7 linked regions of the Kluyveromyces lactis genome follow. The protein of the gene in region 1 interacts with the protein of each later gene in a pairwise test. Links are inferred from orthologs where the notes say so. Each region holds a gene or a part of one and is shown in the gene's direction. Other genes may lie near its edges. The genes, in order: GLC7, BUD27, MHP1, SYN8, BNI4, YPI1 and RPI1.

Evidence for each region.
Region 2: the proteins of GLC7 (region 1) and BUD27 interact in a two-hybrid assay, tested with the Saccharomyces cerevisiae proteins (2 studies listed by BioGRID). The link is inferred for Kluyveromyces lactis from reciprocal best matches to the Saccharomyces cerevisiae genes GLC7 and BUD27.
Region 3: the proteins of GLC7 (region 1) and MHP1 interact in binary tests that used the Saccharomyces cerevisiae proteins (3 or more experiments, as listed by UniProt). The link is inferred for Kluyveromyces lactis from reciprocal best matches to the Saccharomyces cerevisiae genes GLC7 and MHP1.
Region 4: the proteins of GLC7 (region 1) and SYN8 interact in a two-hybrid assay, tested with the Saccharomyces cerevisiae proteins (2 studies listed by BioGRID). The link is inferred for Kluyveromyces lactis from reciprocal best matches to the Saccharomyces cerevisiae genes GLC7 and SYN8.
Region 5: the proteins of GLC7 (region 1) and BNI4 interact in binary tests that used the Saccharomyces cerevisiae proteins (3 or more experiments, as listed by UniProt). The link is inferred for Kluyveromyces lactis from reciprocal best matches to the Saccharomyces cerevisiae genes GLC7 and BNI4.
Region 6: the proteins of GLC7 (region 1) and YPI1 interact in a two-hybrid assay, tested with the Saccharomyces cerevisiae proteins (2 studies listed by BioGRID). The link is inferred for Kluyveromyces lactis from reciprocal best matches to the Saccharomyces cerevisiae genes GLC7 and YPI1.
Region 7: the proteins of GLC7 (region 1) and RPI1 interact in binary tests that used the Saccharomyces cerevisiae proteins (3 or more experiments, as listed by UniProt). The link is inferred for Kluyveromyces lactis from reciprocal best matches to the Saccharomyces cerevisiae genes GLC7 and REG1.

What each region holds. Positions count from the first base shown.
Region 1 is NC_006042.1:1,158,120-1,160,981, forward strand, and holds GLC7 (type 1 serine/threonine-protein phosphatase catalytic subunit GLC7), read left to right. Parts: upstream 1-1,426; coding exon 1,427-2,362; downstream 2,363-2,862.
Region 2 is NC_006042.1:2,340,258-2,344,114, forward strand, and holds BUD27 (prefoldin-like protein), read left to right. Parts: upstream 1-1,128; coding exon 1,129-3,357; downstream 3,358-3,857. Other genes in the region: EPL1 (Epl1p), read right to left, coding at 1-374. UniProt on the Saccharomyces cerevisiae protein: Involved in gene expression controlled by TOR kinase and nutrient signaling. May also be involved in positioning the proximal bud pole signal.
Region 3 is NC_006041.1:1,045,586-1,049,741, reverse strand, and holds the start of MHP1 (Mhp1p), read left to right. Parts: upstream 1-1,356; coding exon 1,357-4,156. Other genes in the region: GTPase-activating protein GYP6, read right to left, coding at 1-666. UniProt on the Saccharomyces cerevisiae protein: Essential for the formation and/or stabilization of microtubules. Binds to microtubules in vitro.
Region 4 is NC_006042.1:733,253-735,893, reverse strand, and holds SYN8 (syntaxin), read left to right. Parts: upstream 1-1,358; coding exon 1,359-2,141; downstream 2,142-2,641. Other genes in the region: rRNA-processing protein NOP12, read left to right, coding at 1-1,005; KLLA0_F07755g (uncharacterized protein), read right to left, coding at 2,397-2,641.
Region 5 is NC_006040.1:1,661,001-1,665,224, reverse strand, and holds BNI4 (Bni4p), read left to right. Parts: upstream 1-1,424; coding exon 1,425-3,896; downstream 3,897-4,224. Other genes in the region: KLLA0_D19745g (uncharacterized protein), read left to right, coding at 1-857; exosome non-catalytic core subunit CSL4, read left to right, coding at 4,213-4,224.
Region 6 is NC_006041.1:1,252,158-1,254,465, forward strand, and holds YPI1 (type 1 protein phosphatase-activating protein YPI1), read left to right. Parts: upstream 1-1,340; coding exon 1,341-1,808; downstream 1,809-2,308. Other genes in the region: proteasome regulatory particle lid subunit RPN11, read right to left, coding at 1-658; linker nucleoporin NIC96, read right to left, coding at 2,056-2,308.
Region 7 is NC_006042.1:411,989-415,959, forward strand, and holds RPI1 (protein phosphatase regulator REG1), read left to right. Parts: upstream 1-1,171; coding exon 1,172-3,730; downstream 3,731-3,971. UniProt on the Saccharomyces cerevisiae protein: Involved in RNA processing and negative regulation of glucose repression. Regulates the level of two antigens, P43 and P70. Binds to protein phosphatase type 1. Functions with REG2 and SNF1 protein kinase to regulate growth.

The sequences.
Region 1 (2,862 bases):
CCTGGTTCAATATCCTAAAACGACAACCTTGGGAGACGTGGTCATCGCTCATTGTTACCCTGGTTTCGTTCATAACGATTTCCCTCTTTCCCTCATTTTGGTCTCCCCTATATCATCACTATACATCATTTCTCTAACTTATCGGGTAGGGCAGAACCAACGAAGTGAGAACACATCCAAACCAACGGATTCTATGCCTTGGTGTTGCCCGAAATAGCAAGGTGCGGTAGCTTATTGTACGCCCTTGTTTTATTTACTATATGTATTTTTTCATGTATCCCTAATGGAGAATGTAACGAACTGCAGCCTGCCAGCTCTTTACATCTTGATTCTAATAATAAATATGGTAAACGAGTGGAAAGAGAAGAAGAGAAGAGAAGAGAAGAGAAGAAGAGAAGTAGGCAAAGAAGGCAAGGGACGTAAATGTCAGAGGCTGCGTGCGCGAGCTGCGGTGCGAAATGCTAGGCAGAATATAGACACTGCTACTGCTGCTGCGCAGCAGCAGTAGCAGTAGTAGTAGCATCTTTGCCATCGAAACCCGACATCTCTGAAATACCTAGCACCCTCCCGCTCACAAACAAAAACAGAACACAACCCATTCCATAACTAAATAGTACATATACGACACTTGGCAAGGCAACACTGGGCACTAGCCCCATCCCTAGCCCCAGTTGGTTTTCCAGTCCAATGCGAAGCGATACCAAGCTGACACTGCGACTTCTTTTCTTTTTTTCCCATATGAAGGAGAACAAAAGTGAAAATTGAGAATTGAAAACTTTCGGTAACGCTTTTTGGCATTACTTACAACTTGTGTTTTATTCATTGGGAAAACACGGTATTTTCAGTGTTTTCCTTCCCATTTGTTTCCGGGAAGATCATCAGTATTGGCGCCAGCTCGAGTCAGGTCAGTGTGTGGTTATTGGCGACAGGTTTGAACACAATACGAAACGGTGTAGATCTCGTTTTTCGGGTTATTTTCTAATTCTATTTTTTTTCCTTTAAAACTCTGTGTGTGTTTTTCTATTATTTTTTCTTTCAATCAATTGATTAAAAAAAAAAATTAATATTATTAAAGAAAGATAATTATAAAACATAAGAGATTGAGAGACTTACGTTCATACGAAGGTTAGAAAGAATACAGCAGGGTCTGTTTGTTTGTAGAAATTGGAAGTGAGACAATATTGCATCTTCAAACCAGGGTAATTTCTACTAGTACCTTTTTTTATCTTTTAAAGTTGCGGGCTATATTCTATAATCTGTTTGCTTCGTTAGGAAAAAAAAATAAGGATTAATAAGAACCAATACTTTTGGATAATCCAAGACACGGAAGCATCACAGTTGCCATCGGTTACTTCAATTATTAAGAACGTTTGATATAGTACCGCGATAATTATAAAACAAAGGAACAAGGAATAAAATAAGAAAAATGGATCAACAATCAGTAGACGTTGACGATATCATTGATAGATTGTTGGAAGTGAGAGGGTTGAAACCTGGCCATCAGGTTGACTTGGAAGAACACGAGATTAGGTATTTATGTTCCAAGGCCAGATCTATTTTCATCAAGCAGCCAATCCTATTGGAATTGGAGGCACCAATTAAGATTTGTGGTGATATCCACGGTCAATATTATGATTTGTTACGTCTTTTCGAATACGGTGGGTTCCCACCAGAATCCAACTATCTGTTTTTAGGTGATTATGTGGATCGTGGTAAACAATCGCTAGAAACCATTTGTTTACTGTTGGCTTACAAGATCAAGTATCCGGAGAATTTCTTTATCTTGCGTGGTAATCACGAATGTGCATCGATCAATAGAATTTACGGGTTTTACGACGAATGTAAGAGACGTTATAACATTAAGCTTTGGAAAACTTTTACGGATTGTTTCAACTGTTTGCCTATCGCTGCGATTGTCGATGAAAAAATCTTTTGTATGCATGGTGGATTATCCCCAGATTTAAATACCATGGAACAAATCAGACGTGTGATGAGACCCACCGATATCCCAGACGTGGGGTTATTATGCGATTTGTTATGGTCCGATCCGGATAAAGATATCGTTGGATGGTCAGAAAACGATAGAGGTGTCTCGTTCACTTTTGGTCCTGACGTAGTGAGTAGGTTTTTACAAAAACAAGATATGGAATTGATCTGTAGAGCACATCAAGTCGTCGAAGACGGATACGAGTTTTTCAGTAAAAGACAATTGGTAACATTGTTCAGTGCTCCAAACTACTGTGGTGAGTTCGATAACGCTGGTGCTATGATGTCTGTTGATGAAAGTTTATTATGTTCGTTCCAAATCTTGAAACCAGCTTCTAAGTTATTGGAACGAAACGTAGTGAGAAGAAAGAAATGATGAATTTAAATTTAAACCTTCTTAATCATCATCATCATCATCATCATCATCATCATCCTCATCTCTCCCCCCCCTTTAAACAACGAATCCCATCTCAAAGAAAATCCCCAATGAAAAAACCAGAAAAAAATAAACTATTAAATTCAAACATAAAGTATAAGATATATTACTGGAAAAACTTGCTGAGCTAGAACGTTTTCCTTTATACCTTTCTAATATATTGTAACATAATTTCTTTGTCGAATGTCAAGCGGGCTGCTACAATTTCAATTTCAAACCTTTATCTCCACTTTACTCTCTTATCACCCTTTTACACATATCCCATCATTCATGTTATTAGTATATATATACGCAGTGATATATACATATATATATATATTCTACATATTGCAAAGGAAAATTCTGTAGATTAGCCGTTGAGCCTTTTTCCATACATCAATCGACTAAACCAATAACACGTACGTTAACATAGTGCTGTAGACACATCGTGTTTTTTAGCA
Region 2 (3,857 bases), about 1.2 Mb from region 1:
AAAGTACCACAGCAATCTTCTAATTGTGCAGAAAACTGGATATAACTCGTAGGACATTTGAATTCACCTTGGTAAAATCTGTCAAACTCGTCCCAAGTTTTCGAGGCGTCTGGTGTTGGAATAAATAGATCCTTCTTGTTCTCTCGAAGCTGATTGGATTGAAGAATTTTGTATAAATGCTCTTCCTTTTCTTCATTCTTCTCCACACCAGTTTCAATCTCCATCAGCTCTCGCTGTTGATGCTGGGAACTGATGGCCGAAACATCTTCTTGTTCCAAATCCTTAATTTCATGGCTCTTATAGATCCGAAGTCGTTGCTTCACGCTGATCTTTCTGTGCCTGAACCTCGATGAATCCACTGCAGGAGCTGGCATACTGCAATGTGTCAATGCCCGTGTGTAGTTACCCTGATAGCTATGCGGCTGAAGCCAAAGAAGGATCTTTGAATTCCAGATTTCAATAGCGAGAAATATGAAAGGAAGGGTAACTACAATTATCCCTCTAAAAAATTGGTTCTTTTACGGGGGCCCAAATTTATTTTCTTCCTGTTTTCGGGGCCAAATTTTGCGAAAAACTTCACTGGCAAGCAATCGGGTGGCGGTGAAGGAGGCAGAAAACAAGGAGACCAAATCTAAAATAGGACTGAAGATAGCAGCTATTGGTACGGATTTTGCAGAACTGATGAAAGTCCTTAAGTATCACTACTGATGGTTGATTCTCAGTAGGTTTGAACGAGCCACCGGACTGTTCTGAAGCGCGTGGTTTTCCTTTTTATGTTGGTTGTTTGGGTGGAACGCAACAGTTTGTCCGGTGAATGGGGGTATTGGTTTTTTCTATATTGAAATCCGAACTTATGGAAAGAAAAAAAAATTTTTTACGTCTTCTACGGAAATATGAACGTCTCCCATAACCACCTTGGTAGACAATAGGAATTTCTGTTCACGTGACTTCCATTGGGTCAAGGTAAATGGTGATGCCAAAAATTGTATGAGCTTCTACCAAAAAGAAAAAAAAACGGAAATCAGTAACTTGACATCCGTAATGAAGTCATCTCATCGCTTGTTGAAAGAGTGAGTTATCTGAGGCAGGTAAAGAGGCTGAGAAAATCAGTCTTAGTCGTGAAACGCAATGGAAACAGCAGAAGGTGGGGCTTCTTTTGCCGAGTTAATGGATACTGTCAAAGGTACCATAGATAATTTGGTAAACAAAAGAACCTTCTTAAAGGAACAGCAGCCGTTGTATGAACAGATATTCGATAGGATAAGAGATGCTGACACGAGCGAAGATTCGGAAGAAGAATGGCAGTATGGTGAGGTAGTATTTCAGAATGGTAAGTTTTTCCAAAATATAGGTTACGATTACTATTTGGAGAAATCTAGGGAAGAATGCCTGGTTTTTATAAAGGTTCGATTGAACTTAATTGCCGAAGCCATTTCACAATTTGATGAGAAACTGAAAGAGGCACATGGCACATTGCGAAACATGGAGTTACTTCGAGACGGTGCAAAATCTTTGGGAGATACGAATGTTTCTAACAATGATGATGACCAGGAAGGTTTCTTTGAGATCAGAGAAGAATTAGACGAAGACGGAAATGTGATACATGCTTCAATGACGCCCGCCAATAAGGTGCATTCGGGCAAAGGTAATGAAGTCCATAGTGATGAACAACAATTGTCACTGAGTCAGGAACGTCAAAATTGTCTTTCACCAGAGACTGCCTTCAATATTCAGAATGATGATCGCTCTTCCGCTTCAGGAACTTCGGAAACTGGCAATAAGACAGGAGAAATCATGGAAGCAGACAAGAGTACCATGCAAATAGCAAAGGAAAACATGTACACATTCGATGATTTGGTAGATCAGTTAGATAAATTGGATAATTATGAAGATGGCGAAATCGACGTAAATGACGTAGAATACGATTTTGATGGGTATGATGAAGAAAGCGACGATAATGAGGAAGATGAAGATTATTCCGTCTCCATAGTTCCTGAAAGAGTTCAGCATTCCTTTATGGAACAAATACAGGCTTTGAGGGCCAACAAAAAACATGATCTCGTACATACAGAATATCGTAATCATTCCCCTGAGCAAGAAGCTAAGTCCATACTTAAGAAAGGCGGTTCGAAGAAGAAAAGTGTCAACTTTGCGCCAAAGCTAGACGTCTTTGAAGTGGAAAATGTGAAACAGGAAACCAAATCTAACACATTTAATTTCCCTAGAAACAGCTATATGGAGTCAGAAATCATCGCATCTGACGGAGAAGATGTTGAATTTGACCCCGATTTGTTCGCGCAGATGATCGGAGCCAAGGAAGCCGACGTATTGCATGAAAAGTACCAACCTGGTAGCATCAACGGCTTGAAGGAATCTGAAGAGCCAGCACTCGCCGCACCTCGAAAGAAGCGTATCTCAAGGTTTAAAAAGGAAAAAGCCGCCACGGAAAAACGCGAGTTTAATACTAATGATGTTGAAATGTTTGAAAAGGAACCAATTGTAGAGGCTGTGGTAACCGACATAGTTGAGCGTGACGACACATCATCGATTTCAGTTGAAAATACTCCGATTAAAACTGGTTCGCCAAACTTTATTCATAAGAAGATGAAGTCCTTACAAAAACCAAAATCGCTGCCAACTAAGACACCATCAATAATTCCCACTGAAGAAATGAACAAAGATGACAGCGGTGCTGAGGGCGAACAAAACAACTCGTCAATTGCGGAAGTCATGAAGGAGAAGCAAGAACTAGTTGAGCCTCATTTCCCTGCGCAAAAGTCTAATGAAATTCATGTCCAGCCAAGAATCGACTTTGCACAATTGGACAACCTTGATGACATGGCAAGAGCATATCTCCTAGGATTATACGATGACGATGTAGAAGATCCTGGCACAGTATTGCAAGACACTTCTGACTTTGAGGCTTATAACAAGATGGTAGAAACTTTGAAGCCTGAATTAAATCAGTTCTTGAAGGAGAATGCAAGCTATGAATATGACATTGAACTGCCACAAAGTGCAGAATCATCACAGAATAACGAGAGCACTATTATTAACGAAATTAAAGAAAGGGATCCAACGGGCGCTGGAGAACAGCCAGTACAAGACGTTGAGGATCAAATCATATACGCAGAAGTTGAGCGAGAATATATGGAACATCGTCGTCGAAATATTGAAAGATTCGCGGTCGCATCCACCTCATCATCCTCAAACACCGAGCACACCATGGAACTTGAGTTAAATGAAGAGTTAGGTAAAGAACCGATTGATGAATTTGGTAACCCGGTCACGACCAGCCGCTTCAAAGCACAAACGCTTGCTTTGAAGAAACATCATCTATCTCAACAGCATCCATAATATCTGGTATGTAGATATTTCTGTAAAAACTTTGCACGTGATATGAGTTGATAGTTCTGGATTACTTTTAGAGAAGTTTACCACAATTGGTGCCTCTCAATGAAAAGGTGCTCGGACCTTCTTAACACATTTTTTGGGCGGAAAGAAGTTCCATTTTGAACATTTTTACACAGTTACATTGAAATAGCCAAAAAAAAAAAAAAAACGTGACACTCAGCAGCCCGTTCCTGATTCTTGGTTATCTACATTTTCTTCTGTAACTGAGGAATAAAAACCTTGTCTCGAACTACAGAAAATAACGCAGCGTGTTTAAGACAGGTCTGAAGTTTATTTTATACAGAAAATCGAAAAACTCCACAATCAGTCACATCACGTGATTATTCCTGTATATCAAAAACTGAACAGCTTTACAAAACGAAATCACTGTCATTGGTTCGTTTCCTAGCGGACAGTTGCTTGCTCCCTCTGGTACGCATACTAACAGTTTGATATCAGAGAGC
Region 3 (4,156 bases), on another chromosome or scaffold:
CAATAACAAATACAAACACTCGCTTTCGTCTTGCGCCTCTGTCAACTGCGGTACAATGCACATTAACATCACTATTGTCACACATGCAATGAATTTACCCTTATTTTCAATATCGAACAATTCATACCATATGGGCAGATACTGGTCAGGACCGCTCAATTCTCGAATGAAAAGTAACCGGCACCATCGAATACACCATACCGCATGCGAAATTTGGAACTTTACCACGATGATTTCGTACAACCTTCGAGGACTCATTTTTCGTAACATCGGACTAAAATCGTTCTTGATCCATTCATTTACACCGCTATCCCTATAAAACAAAGGATATAACCACTTCATCACGTTGTCAAACCTTTTATAACACTCATCTACGTCTTTGTCGTTCTCTAGGTATAGTACAAGGCATATCTCGTGCATTCCCTGTTTGTACCCTACCCCGTTTCTTTTCACCCAATTCACTAATATCTGCCTCAATGCATTCTCTTCTTGCGGTCCATTAAGCTGGCCTGAATGTAGCCTAGCTACATCCAATTCTATCATCTCTTGACTGTCCATCATACTTACGCCATTCACTATCGCTAAGGGGTGTTCATCGACATTTCCTACGTCATGGGCTTCCAACTTTTGAATACCGAAACGATTCCCATTGCTACTGGAATTCATACTATATCGTGGATATATTAGCACTTATCACCACAGGAAGGACCATAAAACGTTCACTTCCTCTTCCCTCAACCAATTGATCCCCCGACTTTACTACCGCAGTGGTAGGTATGTGATGCTGCTATTACTCTGCGTGTATGGTCTCAATTCAACCTTTTTTTTTTTCTCTACTAGTTTCACTATGTGCATCGAAACTTTTCAACGTGATTATATTTTAAAGGATTTCTCTATAAACAAAACATGAACTTTTCAAGTCTTCAAATAACTACATTCAATTTGAGGGGGAAGACAAAATAAAACCCGAACAAGCGTTCAAACGAGAAAGTAGTAGACAGAGAAAAAACAGTCTGCATTATTAAAGCACATACAAGCTAAATATATCGAAGGTGAAAGGTGTTATAAGTCGACGCTTTGCATTGCGCCATAGTATATTTTTTTATTATTCCGTGGAATTCAAATTAAGACGTGAGAACATTTAATCAGAGAAAATCCTCACCATTTTTTTTGGCTTTCGGATATTTCGATCAACTATTTGTTCTAATATAGTACACCACATCGTTCTCTCCAGATATAAATCCAAGATTGAGGGTCTAAGGGGCTAGCAGCAGCAAAAACAAAAAAGAAGTACACAGTTTTTGCTGATATCAAGTTACTCCTTTCCTTAAAAAAACTCTTTATATTCTCCGAACCATGGGTAAAGACGATAGTTGCGGGTTAGATGTAGGATGGTTGATTCGAAACAGGTGTTCTGATCATGACCATGGATCAAAGTCAAGCAAAAAGAGCAAGTCCGGTGGTGGTGCTATGGCTGCAGCCCTTGCTTCTTCCGATTCGCATGGTGCCAGGACTGGAACTCCCTCCCCGATATCTTCTACTGTCAAGATATCTGATTTGGATGCAAAAAATCCAGATGTAACAACGCACGTTGAAGTGATAGGTCCGAATAGGATTGTAAAACAGAGACGTAATTCTAGTGTTGATCCTAACAGTGCGATTGATATGTCTGGGATAAACGGTTATGATCATAAGATGGGACATGGAAAAACGCCGCAGAAACAAACGTCGTCATACCTAGAAAGTGCTCCTTTGAGAAGGACACAATCTGCATCGCTGCCCGAAATGACACATAAGAGGAAATCAGGGTTTTTCAAAAATTTATTCAAGAGGAAAAGTTCCTCTTCCAATGCAGAGAGTGCCTCACCACCTCCTGGATCACCATCTTTGAAACCTGTCAGTTCTAGCAGCAGTAGTAACAGCACAATAAGGTTGGATACAAATGGCGAAGCTGGATCGCATTATAGCCATCATGAAGGTAGAGCGAGAAGCAAATCAGTGTCATCAGCGTCGCTGCGGAATGCAAACCAGCAAAGGTTAGCCCAGAACGAAGGGTTAAATGATCTACACGTTGAAACGAAGTTTGAGCCGAGCGTCAGTAGAGTTGCGGAAGGAGTCCCTTTGGAAAGAGTTCAAACTGAATCACAGGCTTCACAACAGGATTTGGATCCTAGATTGGAAGAGTTCATCAAATATTACAAAGAACATGGTTGCAATGGTTTCTCATCTCAGCAGAATGGTGCTGCAAAGAAAGTAACCAAAGAACCCAACGCAATATTCTCTTTAGATTCTACTCTAGTCGGTAGTAGTAAAAATGGAAACAGTAATGGAAAAGTCCATTTAGATAAGAAGGGCAGACCAATACCGCCACATCCTCCTAGGTCTCGTTTACCACCTGCATTGAAGGTAAGATACGAGCCAGTTCCATCATCCTCTCGACCTGATTCGAGCCATACACCATTATCGGGTGCCAGCAAATTCGGTTCTTTCTTGAAAAGGGTCACTTCTCATACCGATGACTCCTTCGTATCAAGTAGAAGAATGTCTTCAGCGTCATCATCAATATCGTTACCCAGGGATGCAGATGAGTCATCTGTCGATTCTTCTGAAGGAACTATAAATACTTCGGTGGTTCCGGGATTGGAAAATCTCAAACCTTTGAAGCGCGTTGCGTTTGCTGCAAACACGTATTTCAATGATCCTCCTCAACAGATCTGTTCCAGGAACCCTAGGAAAGGTGAAGTTGAAGTAAAAGCAGATGGATCTGTTGTTATCCATAGGTTAACTCCCGAAGAGAAACGTGAAATACTGGAGAAGTCAAGTTGTGGTATTGTGGTAGGAGGAACTGGGCAATTGAAGTTAATCAACCAAGATGCACCAGCGACGTCTCCGGATCAAAATGAAGGCGCTGCATTAAAACTCCATGCTGAGGATGACCATGCGTCTCAACGTCGTCACATCGAACTTGCAGCAGCAGAAGCTGCGGCAGAGGCCAGAGCTAAAGATGCTCCACTAGATTTACAGAGAACTGTGACAAATAATGAAGAAGAGGTTGGTGTCAACAATACATTAGAGAAAGTTACCATTGACAAGCCAATGACATCAAGGAGAAAAGGTTCTAGCACATCATTGGCATCCATGATATCATCGGATTCTGCCTTGGTACCTTCTGAAGATGAAAACGAACTTCTACCACCCAGAAATATAAAGATCCCTCACGATGTTGTGTATACTCGTTGTTGTCATCTAAGGGAAATTCTTCCGATCCCTGCTACTATGAAGCAGTTGAAAAAGGGATCAACGGAACCGATACCGTTCCTACAATTAAGAAACCCCAAACCTTCTAAAGTAGAAGTGCTTTCTTTCAGTGATTTTTTGAGTATCGCTCCGGTGTTATGTCTATCTTTAGACGGTGTGTCATTGAGCGTGGAAATGTTGAGAATTATTTTGAGTTCCATCACATATAAGGATAAATTCGAAAAATTATCACTCAGAAACACTCCTGTAGATCATGACGGGTGGAAGGTCCTTTCATATTTCGTATCCAAATGCAAAAGCCTAAACTCGCTCGACGTTACCATGATTCCAGGATTAGCGCTTAATGTTCAAAAGCCATCTAAATCATCAAATGGCTCAACTGTTCCTAGAATGGTTTGCAATATGGAGAACAGATCTGATATGAACTGGAGTTTGCTTAGTGCGGCCGTGGCAGCTAAAGGTGGCTTAGAAGAAATGATCGTTTCAGGTGCCTTCATGAATCAAGTTCAACTACAAAACTTCATTGATATTGCTTGGACAAAGACATTAAGACTTGGCCTGGCCTACAATAACTTAACTTTAGAGCAATGTCAATGCCTTGCAACCTGGATGACTAACTCTAAAATACAAGGTGTTGATGTTGGTTACAATGATTTGAATGGAAAATTAGGACCGTTCATATCTGCCGTAATAGAGAAGACGAAGAAAGGAAAAAATGTGTTCAAATTCCTATCTCTTAACTCTACAAATCTTTCGGTTCCTAAAGGTGCAAAATCTGAGGATAACGAGGTTTTGAGTTTGCTCAATGGTCTTTGCTATTGTGATAGTTTGAAATTTTTAGATTTATCCAATAACCCAGGATTATTCCCATACGGTATGCGTACGTTGACAGCTATTT
Region 4 (2,641 bases), about 420 kb from region 1:
AATGAAGATGAAGCAACTGCAGTCGATAAGTCTTCGATTACCGGCACGGAATCTGAATCTGCTAAAGTTATCAATTTGAAAGAAAAGGAACTAGCCAAGGCTGAGAGAACAATTTTTATTGGGAATGTACCAAATGAGGTTATCACATCAAAGAAAGTTTACAAAGAATTTAAGAAACTTCTCTCCAAGGATCCCCGTAGCGAGAATGATGACCACGATGACGGAGAAGAAGACGAAGAAGAAGAAGAAAGTAAGACAAAAGATGTTAAGTTTAATGTGGAAAGTATCAGATTCAGATCCATTGCATTCGAAGAAGCATTGCCAAGAAAAGTTGCATTTGTTCATCAAAAGCTTCACAAATCTAGAGATTCGATCAACGCATATGCCGTATATGGGAGCTCCAATCCGGTCAAGATTATGTGCCAATATCTGAACGGTAAAGTGTTCAACGACCATCATTTGAGAGTGGATTCGGTTACACACCCCTCCCCACATGATAAGAGAAGATCAGTCTTCGTGGGTAATTTGGATTTTGAAGAAGTGGAAGAAAGTCTCTGGAAGCACTTTGAACCTTGTGGTGACATTGAATATGTTCGTATTATTCGTGATTCAAAGACGAACATGGGTAAAGGTTTCGCATACGTTCAATTTAAGGACTTCCAATCAGTGAGTAAAGCGTTACTACTACATGAAAAGAAGATCCATGAAGGTAAGAAGGCCAGAAAGCTAAGAATTTCTAGATGCAAGAATATGAGAAAGGCCCAAGGAAACCAATCTTCCCTACAAAATAATAAATTAAACGACCAACAAAGGACAAAACTGGGAAGAGCTAAGAAGGTGTTAGGTAAGGCTGATAGGGCTAAGCTAGGTGAAGAGTTGACAATTGAGGGTTTAAGAGCTTCAAAGGGAGAAACCACCCCTGTACTAAAAAGAACAAAGAACAGATCAAAGACAGGAAGAGTTACTAAGCGTTCGATAGCTTTTAAGAAACAAAATGCTCAATAATGGAGCACAACCTTAACAATTATAGTATAGTGTACATATGGATAAATAATCCAACTTTTCAATAAGACAGACACTTGTTGTATCTCCGATTTGGCTTGCAATTGGTCTTGGTGCTTCAACTGGGGAATTACTGTCAATTATTGTTCCGGGTAATCTCTTTTGTCCTATTAATTCTTTGACTATTCGATATTTTATGCTATATACCGGAGAACCTTAAATGTGATTCGTTGGCATAAGAGACAGCTCGTGTTAAAAATAAGTGGCATTTCGTAACCTAACGCAGCCAACACCTATGCGAAGCTTAATGTTAGGCGTATTATCTACAGAGAAAGAGGGACGATAGATATAAAAAAATGAATGGTTTGAAGGTCGAATATGAAATCGATAAATTAATAGAGATTGTGGATGAGAGAGACAGGTTAATGGATGTCCTTCACATGCAACCATCTAAAAATGATAACATAAAACTTAAGAAACATATAAACCATACACTTGATTTGCTCAAAGATTATGAAGATGATGTACCCTTTTCTGAAGATGATAGATTTAATCATCAGATTAAAACTTATAATGATATCATTGAAGGCTTGCCAGAAACAGTCATTGACAAGGAACTCTATAGATTCAAAAGAAAGCCTAATCTGAGAGAAACAAAGAAGGTACGGTTTAAAGACGGATTAGTTGAAGAGCATAAAGAACCCGAACAGAAGTTTAAACCATATAAAGATGATGAGTCTTCATCTACAGTTGTAGATGATTTATTGGAGGTCAAGAGAAAGGAATTATTTGGAAATCAAGAGACAGGAACTCCAAAATACAATATTTCTCCACAAGTTTCAAATCAGGATATTTTCATTCAACAACAGCAGCAATTGATGGAACAAGAGAGCCATCTAGAAAACCTGTCAAGTTCTATTAATAGGACACAAGGAATATCTATCGAGATTAACGATGAGGTAGAACAGCAAAATGAACATCTCTTAACGGATATTGAGCGCCAAGTAGATCGAAGTGAAAGTCATTTACAAAGGGCTGGGAGAAGACTTAATGCTTACGAAGCAACAGCTCGTGAGAAAGGCCCTTGCTTCCTAATTGTGATTCTTTCTATAATACTATTCCTTTTAGTTATAATTTGATATACGGAATGGTATTGGAGAACAAATATTAAATTAAAATGGTGTTTTAGAATGAATAGGATACATGCTATTAAATACTATTCTTAGAACTGAAGCTCAAATAACCAGAAACAATGAAAACCCTTTTCCACAACAATTAATATCATTTCGAGCAACTAAGTGGAAAACTTTATAGTGATTAATAAGAAACGAACAACGTAGAGAATCTGAATGCTAATAATATTATTCTGAATAAAAGGAAAATAAACCGGAATATTACCATTTGTTATTGATGGTATGCGATCCTCCAAGACTATTGGTATTATAATTGTTGCTGCTATTGCTACTGCCATTTTTCATACTTCTACCGTAATAGCTTTGTTGGTTATCGTTGATGTTAAAGGACTGCTGGACGTTATTGGACAGCAGATAAGGGTTAACTTGCTGTTGTTGCTTGTGCTGTTCCATGCTATTGAAGTTCTGCCCCGTATACACATGACGGGTGTTGTGAGGAACCGGTC
Region 5 (4,224 bases), on another chromosome or scaffold:
CTAGCAGATCTTCGTCTGTATCACAACCTGAATCTTCTAGTGTCTTCGAAACGGGAAGCAAAATGAAATTAAAAAGAATAACAACCGGGACAAGCACTAATAGTAATACGACAACTTCCAAGCCCCAAACAATAACAACAGCAACAATATCAAACTCAATGTCAAGTTCTTTATTTTGTGCTCAGTTTTATTCCAATTTTTTATCTATGGATCCTGACCTGGAAAAGGCTTTCCCTTCATTGAAACACCAAGACACTGCCTTCGCAGGAGTACTAACAATGGCTATCAATAACCTCGAGGATTTAACTGCTATGGAAGCTTATCTGAATAACTTGGGGAAAAGACATGCTAGAGTTTTGGGAATTCACCCTCCTCAGTTCGAACTGATGGGGGTTGCACTTCTGCGAACTATTAGAGACAGGTTTGGTGTATACTGCACATTTGAATTAGAAGAAACCTGGGCTAGATTATATTCGTACTTGGCAAACAGCATTTTACAATTTGGAATTGATCCGATTCTAAAAGTCGATTATGTTGAAAGTGAGTTGCATTTACCTGTCCCTAATTTGATAGAAAACACACCAACAACAAAGATTCCTATAAATGAACCATTAGAATCTCAGACACCGCAGGTACTGCAAACAGTTTCTTCCCACAATCCTAAGAAAAACAACAATAATGTCAACCAGCACTTGCAAGCACCGACGTTAAGCACTAACAAAAACACCCCAATGAAATCTTCTACTGCTAACATCAACGATAGAAGCTTTTTCTCTAATAAACTCAAAGGCAGGAATAAGGGCAAGTCAACTACACTGTCAGGACCTGCTGGATCAGAAGACTGCATAATTATGTAGATAGTAGTCTCCACATACACTTTGCTATATAACACAAAAGCCCTAATCTAACAGGGTCATTATATAAACATTCTAATTCTGCAAATAGTGAACTTAGTTTTAGAACAGTACCATAGAGGTTTGCGATGAATGTGACAGATCTATTCTCCCGTCTATGCCCATCGATATGTCTGTGATGCTAAACTTTTCAAACACTTCTTTGTTTCTATTTTTTTTTTTTTATTTACTGGAATTGGTTATGGATCGCGTAGTGGCCTTCACCAAAAGTTCGAAAAAAAAATCTAAATCAAAGCACTATCGATTTTAATACGCGATCAGTATTGGGTCTCCAATACTAAACATAGTTCCGAATCGAACAGGTAAGACGATTGTCAAAGGTCCAAAGCGTTCAAACAAGAAATCTGCTTGGAATCGCATTTGCACCCTTATCGCACCTGATTCATATAATTCTTTAAATCATTCGTGATACTAGGATCAATAAGGAATCAATCAATCATTAGTTTTAGCAGTGAAGAAGAAAGTTGGATAGGTTCATTTCCAAGAGAAAGCACTTTTAAAGCACAAGAGATGACAACACCTGTTGTGGATCCTCAACCACAAATGAACAATGAAGTGGATAGTAACTTCTACGTTGGACAAAAAATCAATACCTTACAGCATGCGAGATCTTTAAGAAACTCGGTAATAATTAGAGACACCTCTGCAAACTCTATCAACTCCATAAACAGCAACATTCCATTAAATTCAAACGAACAGCGAACCGGCATAATACAAATGACATCATCACCCTCCTTAAGTGCACTTGCCGGTATTCTAAATGAAAAAACGAAGCAAGCTGATATGATGGTGAGAAAGCTATCAACTAATTTTGTAGCTGACACGATCAAAGAAGAAACGGAAGAGCCCGCCGAGGGAAATTTGGAACAGAATTCTTCAAATATTGCTGAATCTGGCTCCCCAAATTTGATAGATCTAGCAGATAACGACGAAGCAATCATTTTTAAACACCCAATACCGTTAAATCCTTCCGTTGAACAGCCTGATTTCTTAACTACTCCCAAAGTTCAACAACAGACCAAAGAAAACAGTGCCGAACCTTTAATTAACGATCAGTCTTCAAATTCTTTTAAAAGTGAAGTTAGAAGCTTAAAGAGCGACAATGAAACCGATTCGCAGTATACTATTCCTACCATCAAGTCAGCAAATGAATGTGCCGACGAAGACCCACACACGTTAATACTAGAACAAAAACCAAATATTGATGAACCTCTCACGCCAACAGTTTCATTAATGCAGGAAACTGTTTCATTAGAAATCCAGAAGAATACGCCAGTACTACAAAGATTGGATTCTAACGTAAAGGGTGGACAAGATATTGATACAAGCAAATCAAAACGAAGAAGAAGCCTGCTCAATTTTTGGAGGAAGCCAAAGCAGTCTACGGAGAAACAAATGTCAACATCGAAGAGTTTTAGTTTGGCGTCAAAAAAAGGCCAATCTAATGAAGACTTGAAAGGGCCTGGCACTAAGAGGTCACTTAGTAGCAGCAGTATCTTCACCACCTTTAGGAAGAATAAGAACAATGACAGCAATGCTGTTAAAAAGAGTGATAATGTGGTCGTGGAACGACATACAGAATCCCAGATCCTTCCAAAGAACAATACACGACCACAGAAGGTCTTCCAAAAGCGTAAGCCAACGCCCCTAAATTTTGTGAAAGATGTGCCTGAATTAACTACAGAGGATAAATTCCCAAGAGATGTTTTTCCAAAGTCACTCGACGTATCAGAGGTTGAGTCAATTGTCTCTCTTGAAAGGTCCAGATCTATGAAATCAAATCAACGAAACTCAATGTCTTCTCTACGTACCAGATCATTGAGTGATCACATTTCACTCAATGCCAAAATGGAAGGAATGTTCATTACCGAAGCTACAAGAACATCTTTCGCAACCCCGGATTTAACGAAATCTCCGGTGAGCAGTATTCTGCGCAGCGGAAAGTTTGAAACTACGTCTGATGAAAAAATATCCGCCAGTTCTGATTTGGACAATAGTCATGGTACTCGAAGTGCAAGTTTCACAATTTCACCACAACAGAGAGATTTTTCTTTTGGTTCCATAGAGCAAAAGTTAAACGAGCTGACAATGGAATCTGATCAAGAAGATCAACTAGAAAAACCATTGGTGCAGAATAAGGCAACTAAATCTAGTCTTGAAGATTCAGATAATGAAGACAACGAATTAATCTCAGATATCATGGAATTTGCAAGTATAATAGACTTTGGACAAGATATCGAGTTAAATTTTGATCTCTATTCTGACAATCGTTCACACTATGAAACTCTAAATCCGGTCAAAGAATCTGTGAAAAACTCTCTATCCAAGCCCAGCTTCAATACTGAGACAGAAAACTCATTTCTTGTGGAACTTACTAACTCCCCAGAAATTAAGACAAACAGTTCAGTACTCAACCAAAAACAGACTGGTTTGGATGATCAGAAACACATATCAAGTACTATAAAAACAAGAGACACATCACCAGAAAATGTTAGCAGTAGCAACCAAAACACTTTTTCTGATAGCAGTTTATATTTTGATAATTATGATGAGGAAGATTTTGAGAACGAAGATTTTAATGGCATACATGCAGTAAAAGAATCCCCAAAGATCAACGCATTTTTACCAGATATCACAACATCGATGAGCAGGCCTATATCGATGTCTTTTAGGGGTTTGAAAGCGCCACAATTCAACAGTACCATGGAACTTTCAGGGCTTACGGGACTTGAACATATCTCAGATCAGATGTCGAAGAAATCGGAAGAAAGATCTAGCTATGCAGCAAAACTTGTTAAGTTTTCCTCTCAAATAGTCCTTTATGAGACCTATGGTGAACTTGAGTATGATAGGCATCCTGATTCGGCAACATGCAATCAACTTACTCCTCAATTGGCCCAAATGATAAAGGACGAGCTGAATGAGCTTAAAGCAGAAATGGACATTCACGAAGATTCTATGTGCAACACTCACTTCTTTTAGTAGACCTATAAATACATGTAATCATAGTAGTTAAATCATTTACCATGCGTTTCTATGTTTCCCTTTATATGGATTCAAATCGTGCACGTAGCTTTCGTGTTGAGCCCGCTTTGAAAGCTTTGGTAATATTACCCTACTATTTGAAAATAATTCTAACTTGTCTTCAACATCTCCCAAATTTTGAAAATTGTTTCACTCATTATGAAAATGATAAAAAAAGAGCTGCTTTATGCGATGAGCTAACAGTAATACCAAACTAGCTTAAATATGGCCTGTAAGATAATAAGAGTGTTTGATAACAGTAAGGTTTGTCTATATGCATCGTTAT
Region 6 (2,308 bases), on another chromosome or scaffold:
TCATTAACATGTTCATTTCGGCGGAAGTCTTGTGATAATCGATATTAAGCGAGTAATAATGCCTATTTAGACCATGAATCAACGCTTGAATATTCGGTTTGTTGATCAACCCGATATTAGAAGTATTTTGCCTTGGTTCCTGGTTTCTCATGACAGTAGAAGGGTCAATTAGTCTGAATGCATCAATGACCACTTTACCCTTCACCGATTGAATAGGATCAACAACCACCGCCACAGCCCTGCTGTTTAATTGTTCAAATGATTTCTGAGTATTCACATCTACTGAAGATAACCAACAACCAAAACCCGGATGTGAATGGTACCATCCGACAACCATTTGATCTCTTCCTGTTTGTTTTAACATATCCATCATCTTAGCTTGAAAAACATCATCAACAGCCTCGACAGAAACACCTGTACCTGACTGAGGCATGGCAAACACATCGACAACGTTTACTGTATAATCATCAACAAATTCTCCCAACATAAGACCCATGACTTCCATTGGAACACCAGCTCTCCCATGTTTCAACATCTTCAACAATGCAAGAGAAGAAATGTACACAGTTTCCTTGGTGTCATCAAGGGGAACCTCGGTGGCATTGGCACCCATCATGCCTGCTCTTTGAGACATCATCATTCTTTGTAAACTTTCCATCTTTTGTTGAAGGATTTGAATTGCGGAGACGATAAATTGGCTTTTGTATCAGCGTTCTGTTTCTTGATATAATACTTCCTTAATAAAGTACCAACAAATTGAAATTCTTATTCTTTCCTGAGAAGTATGCAATTGTCTTGTAGATTTCAATTACTGTGTATCTAATACTGCTAATAATGACTTATGGATACCACACGTACAGAGATGAGAATTCTTGACGAATTATCTGCTTATACCTTTATCAATTGTAAACTGTTTGCCACTGCATTACAAAGTTACGATCTTTCTTTTGGCTTATGGATTTAGTAGTCATTATTAACGAACATCACCACTTTCTGACCTTCAGATATTTAACCTCTTTCTTCCCTTTAAAAATGAGATGAGACTGGAGTACTTCTATGCATACATGGATATCTCATATACAAAGCGAAGCTCCATGGTCTAGTACAGTCAAATACTCGAGAGCACGACTTGTTGAAGAAAATATTCCGTTTTATTGACGCCGAAGATTTTAGAAATAGGAAACGATTTCTTACATTATTCATACTTTGTTCCCAGTCCTTTGATAAGTGAAATTACGAAAGATTATCAAGACTTAGACAGGAAAACTTTACCTATCGTCACGCTTTTTTTATCAGTTTGATCCATCATCATAATTAAACTTTGAAATATTTCCTAACATATGAGTGAAGGACCTTCTGCTCTTCCTGAAGGAACGCATACCGTCACTGTTACGGAGGTTCCGCAGCTGCTTCAATTGCGTGCTGGCCAGAATGAGAAAAACAAAACTAAGAAGAAGGACACCAAGTCTAAAGTAAGATGGGATGAGAAAGTAATAGATAATGAGAACATGAACAAGAAGAAAACTAAGATTTGTTGCATTTTCCATCCTAATACCCCATTAGAGAGTGATGAAGAAGAGGAAGGAGAGTGCGAGCACGATCATAATCATGGACATGATTCATCGTCTTCATCATCTTCGTCTTCTTCAGACGAGGATGAGGGAAAAAGCTTTGACGAAAGAAGAAAGGCAAGACTCGAAAGGCGGAGAAAAAAGCTTGAGCAAAAACGTCCACCAAGTCCGAATGCATACGAAGTCCAGCCAGATTACAGCGCTTATAGAGATAAGAACAGAAAAGACGCTCAATGATTTAGGAATTTGATCAGCATACTCTTTCACTTCTTGTACATTTCGTTGCATCTTCTACTCACTACAACAATGCACTGCTGAAAAGGTAATTGGCAGTTCAAATGTATATATATACATATGCATATATAATCTATCAGGCAATTATATCGAATAACAATCGACTTACACATGGTTATTTTATTGTATGCTATTATGGTAGGACGTCTGGGTTCTGACATAACTCAGGTGCTCATAAATGAGAGCTCTGCTACAAACCAACTTCTATATTGATTAATATGCTGTAAGTTTCTCTTGGCATTTTGTATTGAATCATACCAGCATAAATCATACAATTTTTAGCAACACGTTTGAGAGAATCGATTTGCTGCTTTTTAGTCAAAGATTGGTAATCACTTTCGTTCAACTGCTTTATGATGTTAGAAATGCATAGCATTGTAATTATCAACAGGTTAGGTATGTTCTTTAATATATTCTCATCCAAATGTGTAAATTCTTGTGCT
Region 7 (3,971 bases), about 750 kb from region 1:
ACATATGACAAGAATCGATGACACCACTATTGACTGAATCAGTGTATGGTATAGATCAAGGTAGAACTCATGTAAAATCCAGAACTGACCAAAGTGACAAAAATGAACAAAAAAAAAAAAAAATTTGTCCTGCTAAACAACGGATAATCCCTTGAAATTTAGTTGGCCCCTGGGCCAACTGAAATGTTCCAGTTCCCGTTTCATCTTCGACAAACTCAAAACGCTCCGCTACCGTGCGATTTTCTTTTCTCGCTATACATGTATAACTTGGGAAGTTAGAATTTCCAAAAATTGAAATGAATAATTAACTTGGAAACCAGCTCCATTAAAAAAAGCTAGGAGTTGTATTTCCTCAGTAAATTAATAAATTCAAACACAACAGAATATAGCGTCCGCCATACTAGGATCGGTTTATACTCTATTACCCTGTAACTTTACTTACATGTCTAAACACGGTCTGTTGTAAGACGTAAGCACCAAAGCGTCATAGACAAATTTTGCCTCCTTTTCGATCTTTTCTATTGAACAATACTGGCAAGCGGTACTCATTATTCTGTTTTCGTTTTTCTTTTTGGGAATTTAGTTTGGTTTCCTTTTCTTTTGGACTTTGGTTTGAGCTTTCAAATCCACTTTTTAAAAAGAACAAAGAACATATAGAACATATAGAACATATAGAATGTAAAGGTTTGGGGGAATAGGAAGAAGAGCAGGTTTAAGTGTGTATTCTGATTGCCTCGTTCGACGATTTTTGTTTTGTGCTAAGCATTTTCAGTGATAGTTACAATCTGCTTTAACAGAGAGAGAGTCCTTTATTTTTCCTGAAGCGATTTGTGGTATAAAGGAGAGTTAAACGATAGTGTGATTTTTCTATTTGGTCTACTTTCATTAGGCAAAATCAGATTTCTCACTATACTACTGTTGGACTGAAGGATAGCGTCTGATAACGCTTGATACCCTAGGCTTCTTTCGTTGTCTGGTTCTCAGTTTTATTTTATTTTATTATTCCATTAATTTTTTTGGATCGCAGGAATCACCTTCTACCATCCAAGCAGAGCTTACTTGATATAATTCAACCTAGCTTTTTTACTGCGTGATACACACGCGGTTGAACAAGACAGCAGAGTATAATATTCAGAAGGTTTTACCAGATAAACACAGCACGCTTTGCATTATGCAGAATAATTTAGCGGCGTATTTTGCTCAGGGGAATGCTTCTCAGGGGAATGCTACCCCGGGTAGAGTCGCATTGAACAGAAGCTCATCGAATGATGAATACGGAACAAGCAGTGTAAATAAACAAGTCCCAAATTACGACGATATGGGTCCTTCTGTGTCTATGGCGGTTCATGCTGATGACGACGACCATTTCAAGAATTCTACGTTCAATTTGAAAAGAACACGATCCATGGGACTGTTGGATCCATACATCGACGATACTCAGAAACTTCTGGCAGGTTCGAGCTCTGTTGATTCCGATAACTTCTCTAACAGTAACATCGATGGCTTGAGTAACGACCTCAATAGTGGTGACAGTAGCGGGAGCATGAATAATATTAACAACAACAACAACAACAACAACAACAACAACAACAACAACAACAACGACAACGAAAACAAAACTGATAATATCAATAAAAACAGTAATAATACTTCTTATAATGACGATAACGACGGTAATGATACTACGCTTAATGACACCGGGCTGAATAAACACAATACAACTGTTGGCGGAACCGACGAAGACTACACAGACGAAAACATGCAAGTCGATAACTACGACGATGACTACGAAGCAGATTACGATTACGACTACGACTACAAAGATGTAGAAGATTCTAATTCTCCTCCAGACCCGGGTACTGACGATTTCCTAATTCATCATGATGACAACGACTTGATGTATGAACCCAATAGACATGTGGATTACTTATCTCATAAATGGAACGAAAACGAAATATCTCAGTCATGGCGTTATATCATTTTGAAAAAGAAACGGAAGGACACAGATTTAATCAATGCTGCAAGGTTGGAAAATGCTTCCTGGAGAACTTGGTCAAAGGCTAGAAATAATCTGAAAACTGTGAATCCAGAATCTTTGAACTGGTCAAAGGATTCTGATGTAACTTGGTTATACGGTCCGATTGTAGTGGGCGATCAAAATAACTCGACGTCGTCATCAAAGCCCACTTCCAACGTTGAAATAGGAAACAATCATGCGGCCACCATGGGGTATGGTTCCGATGATGAAAATTCAAAAAGGTTGATCCAAAAGTCTCAGAGTCCCGGTCCTAAACCTATTCTAAAGAAGAGAACTGTTAGTGAAATTATCGAGGAAAACTCCAAATGGAGATTAGATATAGCAAGGCAGCACAGAAAGCAAACTAGTGACTTGCATGCTATTTTGGATCCGCAGTCAAGTCAGACAACGCATGACGATTATGATGCTATTGCCGCGAAGGTGAATGCACAATATTACAAAAATATCCATACACCGCCTGATGAATCGGTGGAATCTATTTCGCCCGTTGTGACCGAAACAAACTCGTCGATAGTAAATACCACTCCAGGTCCAATCTCTGGCTCTGTGATAGAAACCCCATCCGCAAGATCTGATCCTCCCATATTATCATCGATTCTTACATCATCGATGAAGCAAAAGCAAAAAAGGGAAAGACATATTCATTTCAATGACCGTGTCGAACAATGTATTGCGGTTAATCATAACCCCATAGACGCTAATCCTAATGATGACGAAGTCCCAATGACAAATACCGATTACCACTCTGACGATATGTCGGACGGTGCCAGATCTTCGCATCAGTATTCTGACTTTGACGATGGATATAGAAATTCAGGGGCCAACAGCGTCGAAGATTACGCCGATGACGAAGATGATGAAGACGCTGACAGCTACGATTATGATGAAGATGACGACGAAGATGACGAAGATGATGGGTTATTTATCAGTGCACATACTAGAAAAAATCGAACCAATTCGGGGGCTAGTGATGGCACAGATGTTGCAAATTCTTTAAGATCACTCTCACTATCCAAATTTCCAAACGCAACTATTAAACCACTTCCAGCCACTACTCTAAACTACGGATCTGACGATGAATATTATGATGAAGACGAAAATGAATGGTATTATGGTAACGCAGTATCACACAATGTGAATACTAGCAGAGGATTTGACTACATGTATGATTATAATTCCGTTTACACGGGGGATACATCCAACTTTGTAACTGTGGACAATTCGTGTGATATCCTCGATGTACCGGATGGCATTGGATTAGATACTCCAATACAGGACGCGAATGACGGATATATGGATGATGACTCAAGAGGGAAAATATATACATACCATCAAAGCCTTCCGGTACAAGATGATAACGATGAACATCCGGACAACGAATTCATCGCAGATTCTTCCCAACCTGGTTTCAGTCATGATGACGAAGAGCATGACGATAACGGTGAAGAACTAGAGCTTACTGCAAAAGACCCACTATCATTAAGGCGAACCTCATCTATAGGGAAGTCTAGAGCAAATTCCATTCATGATTTTATCACACCTTCCAATTCTGCATCTCCTGTTTTAAAACAGACACATAGCTTCATCACTGGAGAACCTTTATCTCAACACAATTCGACGGTAAGAAGACCACCATTAAAATCTCCTTCATCGGGTAGCTTTTTATTTGGATCTGATTCTGATTCTGAGTGATCGCTCAAGTGCTCTTAGGTATATTCGGAGTTCATTTTTTTTATTGAGGTTAAACTTAAAAATACCACTCTACCAGCATATATATTTTTTTTTCACTACGTAAATAGTATTAATTAGAAGAACAACAATTTTTCTTGGTTTTATCCATCTGCGTAGATCTCTCGCTCAGCGCTTAATGCTTCTATTGATTAACTTGCTACGGTGTTTTATTTATGTTGAGAGAGTGCGCTTAATTATATAC